Linked DNA regions of Mus musculus. The protein of the gene in region 2 purifies or fractionates together with the protein of the main gene of each other region. This does not show direct contact. Links are inferred from orthologs where the notes say so. Each region holds a gene or a part of one and is shown on either strand. Other genes may lie near its edges.

Region 1 (4,967 bases), on a different chromosome or scaffold from region 2:
CACTGGGAATTTTATACCAGGCTCCTTATTAAATGTTACTGAAGATCCCCTCCAAAGCAACAAAGACCAGCTAGCATTTTTTTATTCCTATTTTCCTGAACTTACTCGGGGCTGCTCGCCACTTGCTCCTACTTCTGTGTTTCTATTTTTATTTTTCCTTTACCTGGATTGTTCTCTCCCATAGTCTACAGGACCCCGAATAATTTCTACCTCGGTGAGAATGAACCATCTGCAAAGTGGAATCTCCCTAAAGTCCCGTTCTTTAAAACACATAACCTCCAGTTTTCCACATCACAGACTGAGCTGTTGATATGATGCCTGTCCATCATCTTGTGATCGAGTTTGTCTCCTTATTCTCCACTTGTAGCTTGAGTATGTACCGCTGGTCTAAGAGCTAAGAACACATTTTCTCTGCAGACAGTAGCATGCTTAGCTAAAGTCTTAGCTATCAGGAGTGTCGTGATCCTCCCTCTAGGCAACTAGTATGAACTAATTACACTAATATTCACCTTTCCATCCTAAGGCAGAGGAGATAAAAATATTTGATTTTACTGTTGTATGCCTTATAAATAAATATAAGATTAAAAAAATAAAATAAATAAAAGATTTTAAATAATGAAAGTTTTCTCATGTCCCTGACTGTAATTATCTTTTAGAGAGAAATGAGAGTCAGTTTGTAGCAGCAGCTCCTGGCCTTCTGCAAAGGTATTACTCCATTTCGATTTACTCAGTCTAAACACACCAGATCAAATACAAATGACTCTGCCACTCATCAAATTTACAACTGGGCAAAGGGGCCGGCTGCTCCCAGACGTACCTTGAAACCTTTGGAGGCAGCAATGTGGGCAGCAGTCCAGCCTTCTTTGTCAGCGTGGTTAATTAGGTCTGCAGGAACCACAGGCTTAGATGGACCCGTAGGGCTCTCTCCTCCATTCAAGCTGAACAAGCCTGACTTGGGCTCTTCTGAACTCAAAGAGTTTCCATGGGCTCGCACTCTATGGTACATCAGGAGCTTGAGGCTGTCCACATTACCAGTGTCCACAGCTGCGTGAATTGGCGTCCAGCCATCCTGAAAATACATTGACCAGGCGGGAAAGGTTGAGAAAAACATTAATGGTGAGAACTGTGTTATTTTGAGTCCACCTCTAAATTCTCTTGGTCACAAACCACCTCATCAGGAAATGGAGGCAGTCCACTCCTGAATATTCCTGATGAACTTAAGTTCTCTCACTTTTCTTGGTGACATTAATTCCCACAACTGTGATTCATGTTTGTTGATAAATAATCATTTTCACCTAACAGTTACCTTCTGGAGCGAGTAGGTCCTGCTTAGTCTCCTCAGTATTAATGCCTGGCCAACCAGAATTTCAATTTAGTATTAAAAAATGGAGTGAACTTTATCCTAATGAGATTTTATATGCAATGATAATGGTATTAATTAATTAGTAATGCACTGAAAAACACTGCAGCAAACCAGTGTTACTAACTGAAATGATCTGAATATTTTAATGCCAAGGATTCCAGAAGGAAAGATTCTAGGTAAAAAGGAAAAGGTAGCAACGTGGAAAAAGCAAAGCCCAAATACGTTCATTAGCTATCTATGGGCCTGTGCTCAGGAACTTCTGAGTGTGGCGGGATTCCAATCAGTGTTGGAAAATGGTTCAATTAAGATCACTGAGGCCATTTTCTAGAATGAATTGCTCTGCCCCACCCCCTTGTCCACTTGGCTGGTTTCTTGAGTCATCATAAGCTCACGGCAGTGGAGCAACCTCAATACCCTCTGAGACTGCAGTTCCCCAAGCCTATCTCCAGATAAAGGGAACCTGACCTCTGGTGGGGAGGCCCCACCTGCCTAGCAATCATGCCCAGCAAGGGAAAGGAATGAATTTAAATTTGACAAGCATGGTTCTAGGGGGAAAAAAATCCCCAGTCCCCTCTCAGACTCTCATTCTGACACACAGGTGGGTCTGCCTACAACATAGAAACTCTTGTTTGTCTTTAAAGATTTTATCAAATAATTGATTTGTGTTGGGGCTTTGGTTTTTGGTTTTTGTTTTTGTTTTTGCCTTTATATTGTTGTTTTAAGATCATTTTCATATAGAATTCCATATTGTTATACTAAATATATTTCAGTAAGCTATAAAACTTTTTGTTTTTTAATATGTGCTTTGAGAAAAGGTCTTACTATGCATCTATCCAAGAACTTGATATTGTTTTTTGCCTCCCAAGTGCTGGAATTAGAGGCATTCAGCACCACTGCACTGGTTTTTGTTTTGTTTTGTTTTGTTTTGTTTTGTTTTGTTTTGTTTTTATAGTGATGATGTAAAGACTAAGACTATTAGCCAGTAAGTAAGGCACCATCTCAATGTGTACTAAGTACTGTGAGCTTTTCCTAAGCTGACCCTTGAGGACTTTTTCTCTCCTTCTGGATTTCATGCCAGTAAAATTCAGTTGACCAAGATAAAAACCACACAGGCAGTTAGTTAACTAGAACCGGGCATGATCTGCCTTGCAGTCAGGAACAGCAGATCCCTGCTTTCTTCTGCAGGGGGATGACCCCTACTTAGGCCACAGAGAAGAAGTGCCCATTAGCTTCCTAATTTACAAATTCCTAACAGTGTTTCTAGGAAAAAAAAACAAGACCAGACAAAAACCTTTCAACATTCCACTTTCTCTTACTACCTAAGCATTAAAAGGCATAAGACATAATTACACACCCACCCCAGGTTACTTATCAATTATACAGTGTGTTGTCGTATTGTGTAAACAATCTGCTCAGCCCAACAAAGCTAGCTTCCGGGCGCTGATCTGCGTTCTCAGCAGGATGCTGTTTAACCTTCCATGTTGAACTTCTTACTCAGGTTAATGATGCAAAATTCATTTATCTTCTAGCAATAAGATAGCATTTTGTAGTGAATACATCCAAACATCCATTTCTTGGATAAAATATATAAAATAAAGAAATGTGAAACTAAACTACCCTTTTCAGATTTTCTTTTTAAAAGGAGGATCTGGGGAGATGGCCAGATCCTCTTTGGGAACTAGGCATGCAAGTGGCTTAGACATGCCTATAAGCAAAACACTCATACATGTACAATAAGAACTTTAATTTAAAAAACTAAAATTTATTAAAAACTTGACATCGAGTAAAAATAATACTGGAGATTTGTTTTGTTTTTAAGCTCTAACAATAATTTACAATGGAAAATACTCATAGCTGGCCTTGTTACCTTTGCTAATATTAATACCTAATGATTGGTTCTTGTCTGAGAAATTACATAATGGCATCAAAGAATAGTATTTGTTCAATAATAAAAACTTACACGTTCATTGTCTTCTCTAATTCTGAAATACTAAGAGCACCAAAATTCCCCTCTTTTTATGTTTAGTCTCAGAATTTGAATGACTTGCGAGGGAAAACGGACCAGAATGTTAATTAGCAAGGGAGAGACTCAGAGGTCACTTAAAGCAGGATCCTAAAGCGAAAGCACAACGGAAGAGTGGGTATCCATGCACAGTTGTCCTTCAGCATTTGTGGGAGGCTAGTTTCAAAGCTCCACCGTGCCTTCTTTACCATGGCCTGTGAATTTCTAGAGATGGTCACATCCCTCATACAAAACACCGTAGCATTTACATAGTGCCTACACGCATCCTTCCACACACTTAAGTCTCCATCCTACTTATAATGTTGTCTACAGTGCGAAAGCAATGTAGCCATATACTGCTTTCTACAGGGAACAATAACAAAGAAAAGAATCTGTACCTGTCATATGTATGCATGTATAGTAGATATATGCGAGCTATAGTATATATATATGCCTAGTTTTCAGACACAATATAAATAACATATGTCGGGGAACACTCTCCCAAAAGGGTACTTACTCTGGTTTTTATGCTCCGGTCAGTGCCAGCTTCCAGCAGGAGTTTGATACATTCCTTATTTCCATTTTTACAGGCCAAGTACAAAGGTGTCTGTCCTCCAGCAGCAGAGTGATTAATGTTGGCATTGTATGCAGTTAGTAATTCTATACATCTGTACATAGAATTATGATTAGTTACATACAGATGAGGCATCACCTGGAAAGGGCTCCCTGAGCAGGTATTAAATCCAGATAACATGCATGACCAAGCATTCATATTGACGTGTCAATTATTTCATTCAGACCTTCTGTACATTATTGGCTTGCTATCACTTTCATATGACTAAAAACTAAACTTTAGTCTCAAAATTTATGAAAACATAAAATTGTCCATTTACAAATGTTCAAACCTAGTTCAGGATCCTTCTTACCAACTTTTACAGGAGTTGTCCTTGGAACAGGTTTGATTTGTTAGGTTAAATGTTATACCGTACTTGGTATACATTACATAGTATTTGTGATTCAAAATGGTTTTTGCCTTGACAAAAAACAAACAAACAAAAAAAAAAAAACAAAAAAAAAAACAAAAAAAAAACCCCAAAAAAACACATGAGGCTGCTGAATCATTCTGTGATTTTTTTTTTTATTCACTCAAGAAAATGATTATAAATAGCATAGACAGCCGAGCACTGTGTGCTTCCTCTATAAAAAGGAGCAGGGGGCTGGGAAAAGGGCTGCCTTGAGAGAAGGATGGAAGAGGCTGTCTCTTTGGGTAGGAGCTGGCTTCTGAGGACACAGCTACACAGAAACACACTCAAGAAGAAAAGGAGGCCATGCTGCGACTGCGACTTTGTGATTAGTTCAACACAGAGATAGAATGTGGACAAAGTGAAGGATTTGCCTTTGGGGAGTTCATTTTTCTTTCAGCATTTGGCTTACATAAGTTATTACTTTTTTTTTTTTTAAGTAACACGCTGACATATCTGTGTGACGCAATCTTTAAATTTACTGATTCCTGAATTTCCACAGGGTTTTGTTTTTTTTTGTTTTTTTGTTTTTTTTTGTCCAAAGCTATCCATGCTTCTGTACTGTGACAGTGACATCCTC
Region 2 (4,967 bases):
ATGCTAGCCTATAATGAATATAGTATATACAGTATTTAAACACTTGGAACTATATATTATACTGTAAAAGCAAACAGCACAACACTCGTCAGACTCATCAACTTATGAGTATACTACCTCCCAAAGTGAAGACACAAACAGTAAAATGCACCCATGGTTTAGATAGATATATATCGTCTATATATTATATATATCCCTATAATATATATAATATATATTTATAAAATATACATACATTTTAGACATCTTTCAAATAAAGAATCATTATCTCCAAAAGAAATTTATAGCAAGAATACTGAAGGAATGGAAGTCAGATAAACAAATAATTTCTCACAAAGTTCATTATCAGTGATACAGCTCAATTTCCCCCTTTTAGTTACAACTAAATGATTACAAAAGCTAAATACTTTGCATAACTAATTATCTGTTTAATGGCAAAAATTGGTAACTTTGTTCAATAGAAAAATACTGAAGGTCATCCCATCACCTATTTGTCTATGGTTTGAGTAGCAAATGAGCTCCAAGTGACAGCTGCATTTTGAGAAGTACTGTAAGCTCCCGGAGACACATCCACAGCACTGAAAATAAGGCAGGGACCTAACCTACCTGCTGATTTTCATATTATTCCAAAACAGCTCACTCAAAACATTTACAATCTGGTAAATAACCATGAAAGTATTTCAAGGGTTTTGAATCTTGAAACTGTTCATCTTGTGATTTTTCAATAGGATGGGGAAAGTCAAACACACGTACATGCTACCATCCAGTTGGAAGACAGTTGGCTCATTTCTAGGTTGACAGCAAACAGGGCTAGTTTAGAAGGCTCTCTTTCTCCGTGCAGTCTTCAATGGCACAAAACATACTTCCTAAACAACTTTCAACAGTTCTGTCATTTGTACTACACTTTGCCTATCTTAGGATTGTGTCCCACCCATTAACAAGAAAACTTCAATTACGAGGCACAGAATGAACAGGGCAGACTCTCCTGGGATCTGGAGTGTTGATGACAAGAGTAAGACGTACACTGAAGCAGTAACTGTGCTCAGCCATCATAAATATGCCACTTACGACTGGAATCTTCTAATATTCTACAAATGTTAATAAATCCTTTTGTTCACTTTACAAAGTATGGAAGAGTTTACCTGTCACAGCATAAAACTCTATACATGAAAATGTGAGCTTTCCTTGGTAGTTATGTGTAACTCAATTCACTTGCATATACCAGTGAATCTCTAAAGCCTGCTTGTTAACCAAAGCACAAAGATAAACTGTAGTTGTGCTACAGCATGTCTATAGAGTAATCAGGGACGTTCAACACGAATCTTATAATGTAAGAAAAGTTTGCCTGCACTGGAGAATTCTAAAGATAGATGAGCAGAAATTTTTAAGAAGTCAATTATTAGCCACATCACCGTAAGAATACTACTTCAAAGAACAGATCACCAGAAAAGCCACGGCTATGGCAATGGAATTAGTTTAATGGGTCATAATATCTATGGGTATAATATTTTTAAGACAGAGAGCCTATGATGAACACATTTTGGTAAAAAGGTGGAGATTAATTTGAATTTAGTATTTATAGTGGTCTCTGTCATTTAGGACAAAAGCAGAGAGGGTGTGAAGACTGCCCTAGGTGTGTCAGTAGGATTCTGAGACTCCCAAAAGCTGACCACATTCGGCTCACAGATAAATGCGAGAGCTGGCATTTTAAGACATGGTTTTCTCTAGATAGAGTATTGATCAACTGTTCATTAAAACATGCATTCCAATTAAACAATGGGGAGTGGGGAGAAGAAAGAACTTTGTAGACATCACAGGCACTAACATCTCCATCTAGATCTCTACAGAGTTCTTTCCCGAGACACTAGTAGAGGACTTTCTGGGGTGCACTACTCTACTAGGCGTGGCTGCAAAAGCAGCTGCCTGCAGTGACCACATGCTTTGGACTACATGACAGACCAGTTATAAACTGTTCATGGTAAGCATCAGACAACATGACCGTGAAAGGCAGGGAAGAAACAGCAAGGCTTACTTGAACTAGTTATGTGGGTGTTGGGAAATGGATGCTAATAAATAGTTTTCCCCTTTTTCAGAATCACTAGGAAGTAAGTTTATCAATATGAAATGATGACGCTAGCACTATAAATGCCACATTAACAAGGTGAATTTTTAGACAAATTATAGAAATATGCCCTGTTTGCCCTTAAAAATAAACAGGATCTCAAACCTGGGTGAGTTCAAACCTTTAGTAAAGCAGGCTCTAGTACCCACTCCTGACTGTGAGTGCTTCACAGTTCACTTTAGAATGCTTCCACATCTACTTTCAAAACTGTAGTACAATATAGAAATCTGCTTGCAAATTAAGTATTTGTTTAGCATTTCTGAATAGTAATACACTTAACATTATTGCATCGTTTCCTCCTAGCAGGTGAAATGTTTTGCCATGTGCTTTATGAGAGCGGCTGAAAGGACAGCTGTGGTAGGAACTCACTTGAACACTGACTGGTCGTTCTGCACACTGGGGTTAGTGGAGCAGAAAGAGCTGTACAACTGACTACCTCGTGTCTAGTAGATGTCTCCGGGTGGCAGGAAGTACAGTGAGGTTTCCACTCTACTCGTTCCCGGCGCTCAACTCTAATTACCCATGACAGCATGCCCTGTTTACTTGAAAGGGAGAAGAAGCTAAACCTGTCCCGCTCAGGCCAGCCTAGCGAATGACAACAACTTCAGAAACAAAAGTGCCTCTTTGGAGGGAAATCTCAAAGTTTCAGGCTCACAGGTTTGGCTGAGCTTGCAGCAACCTGAACAAACCTTAATTTTAGAAAACAGTATACGAATTGCAAAACTATACTTTTAACAGAGTTCTCTGTGCTCCCTCAGCAGAACAAAAGGGCAGGGCGAGCTGATTCTTGCCCTGGTCTTCCGTATCGCTGTTGTGCAGTTGACTTTTATAAAGAGCTACAAGGTGAAGCTGCTGTGCCACATCATACAAAGACCTTAGCCAGGGCGTCGGCTCCAGCGCTGGCTATATAGCATTTGGAAGGGTGGAACGCTACATCGTGGATCGATTCTTCAAATTTCTTCCGATGAGCTGTGAACTCCTGGATACATGTCTTACTTTCTAAATTCCATAAGCGTATTGAACAGTCATGACCTATTGCAAAAGAAAGGAAGGTGAAAGGAACGGTTACCTCCCCATGAAGACGGTAAGGACAAACATATCACCACAGCTAGTGTACTTACTGCCAGACATCAAGTAGAGGCCATTCGGGTCAACTGCCAGGCTTGTCACAGCTTCCAGGTGGGCCACCATCGAGTGGATCAGTTTGCCTTTGGAAAAAGAAATTGTTACTCAATTGATGGCTTTCCTCAGCTTAACCACATGCCGACTTCCACCCTGCCCTGGTTTCCCAAGTCATCCCTGGCTATGTACTTCATGGATGAACCTTTTCCACAGTTCAAACAGCACATCTCCCTGTCTTGCTTTTGGTCATGTTAATAACAAAAAATAAAAGCCAGTTAAATTTCATATGAGACGGTCTTTTAAGCCACAACAAACTCAGTGAGCTTTTCATGTTCACTAACTATGAGTTAGACATTACTAGTCTTCTTGAGCACCCTTTAGTTACAAACTACATGAGTGTCTGAGGACAGAAAGCTCAAATTCAAAGGGACAAAAGAAGAGAAAGAAAACATGGCCAGACTTTTGGCAAAATAACACAGAAAAGAATTATGAAGATTAAATTGCTAGCCACTAAACACAACGAGTGACTATATTAAAAAGGCAGACAGCCAGAGAAACATGGCCTCCCCCCCCCCCCAGTTCTTCCCACTTCAGCTCTTTGTGTACTTTACCATAGACTGCTGAAATGCAGTCCACTCAGAACTGGGAAAGCCCCGTGCCCTGCTCAGTTAGAACTCACATTTTACTATAACACACAAAAGATCAGACCATGAAAAAAACCACACAGAACAAATGACTAGAGGATTTTCACATACAACGCTACATCCAGCTATTTAATATTGAGCAACAGAGCACAGCTGTTTGATAACTGAACAACTTAAAGTAAAACCCATCACCGGCCTCTGCCTCCACAAGTTTCTGTTAATGCTCACTACTCATGGACTGTTACAGACCATTTCTACCAGCGCCTAGGTGCGTGGCTTTAGAATATGCTTACTATTAAACAAACTAAAAACCATCCCATACTGTATGGAACCATCTGAGAAGACATTAAGTGAACAGAAGCGGCCTGCAGCGTGCTTCCATGACTACTCCGTGACCGTGGAGCGGCCATCAAGACCCACAACTAGCTTGCTTTTAGTAGGTGCTCATGGCTGCTTTGGGTTCTTGTTGCAGTGGGTGTGGCTTCAGCACGATCCAGTCTCAGAAAGCTCTTACCTGTATTGTTATCGTAGAACTTGATGTGCCTGTCTTCATGAGCAGTGATGCTGATTGGGAGGGTAGGATGGCTGATGACTCTGTTTATTTGGCAGGAAGAACTGGATGCTAAAAAGGAAAAATTGAAAATGATTCAAATTAGTCAAAGTATTTTTTTTTTCCAAACAAAGGCAGAAAAAAAAATAATTCAACTTTAGTCTGGCTGCAGTCAATTACCCAGTCTCCAGCTACAGTGTTGTAAAATGAGTTACCTGAGCTAAACCACGAGCCACAGCCACAGGTAATGACAAGTCAGAAGTCCCTTTTCCACCCCGATACACACTAGAGACACTGATGACATCACGTCTCTAGCTTTGCTCCTTAGTAAAGTTCTAATAGCTGGGCATGGTGATGCACAGGCAGGAGGATCTCTGTGAGTTCAAGAGCAGCCTGGCTCATCTACATAGAGAGTTCCAGGCCAGCCAGACATTCAAGTGAGATCCTGTCTCACAACAAAAACACACCAACCAAAAAGGTTCTATCATCACTTGAACACAAGTCATCTTCAAAGTTAAACCTCAGTTCC

What was found. The genes of interacting proteins can lie anywhere in the genome.
Region 1: the proteins of Strn (region 2) and Cttnbp2 purify together in Homo sapiens (affinity purification with mass spectrometry; 3 studies listed by BioGRID and IntAct, with this or other methods). This does not show direct contact. The link is inferred for Mus musculus from reciprocal best matches to the Homo sapiens genes STRN and CTTNBP2.

What each region holds. Positions count from the first base shown.
Region 1 is NC_000072.6:18,419,949-18,424,915, forward strand, and holds part of Cttnbp2 (cortactin-binding protein 2), read right to left. Parts: intron 4,034-4,967; coding exon 3,883-4,033; intron 1,070-3,882; coding exon 818-1,069; intron 1-817. UniProt on the Homo sapiens protein: Regulates the dendritic spine distribution of CTTN/cortactin in hippocampal neurons, and thus controls dendritic spinogenesis and dendritic spine maintenance.
Region 2 is NC_000083.6:78,652,506-78,657,472, forward strand, and holds part of Strn (striatin), read right to left. Parts: intron 4,511-4,967; coding exon 4,403-4,510; intron 3,331-4,402; coding exon 3,244-3,330; intron 3,155-3,243; coding exon 2,985-3,154; 3' UTR 1-2,984. UniProt on the Homo sapiens protein: Calmodulin-binding scaffolding protein which is the center of the striatin-interacting phosphatase and kinase (STRIPAK) complexes.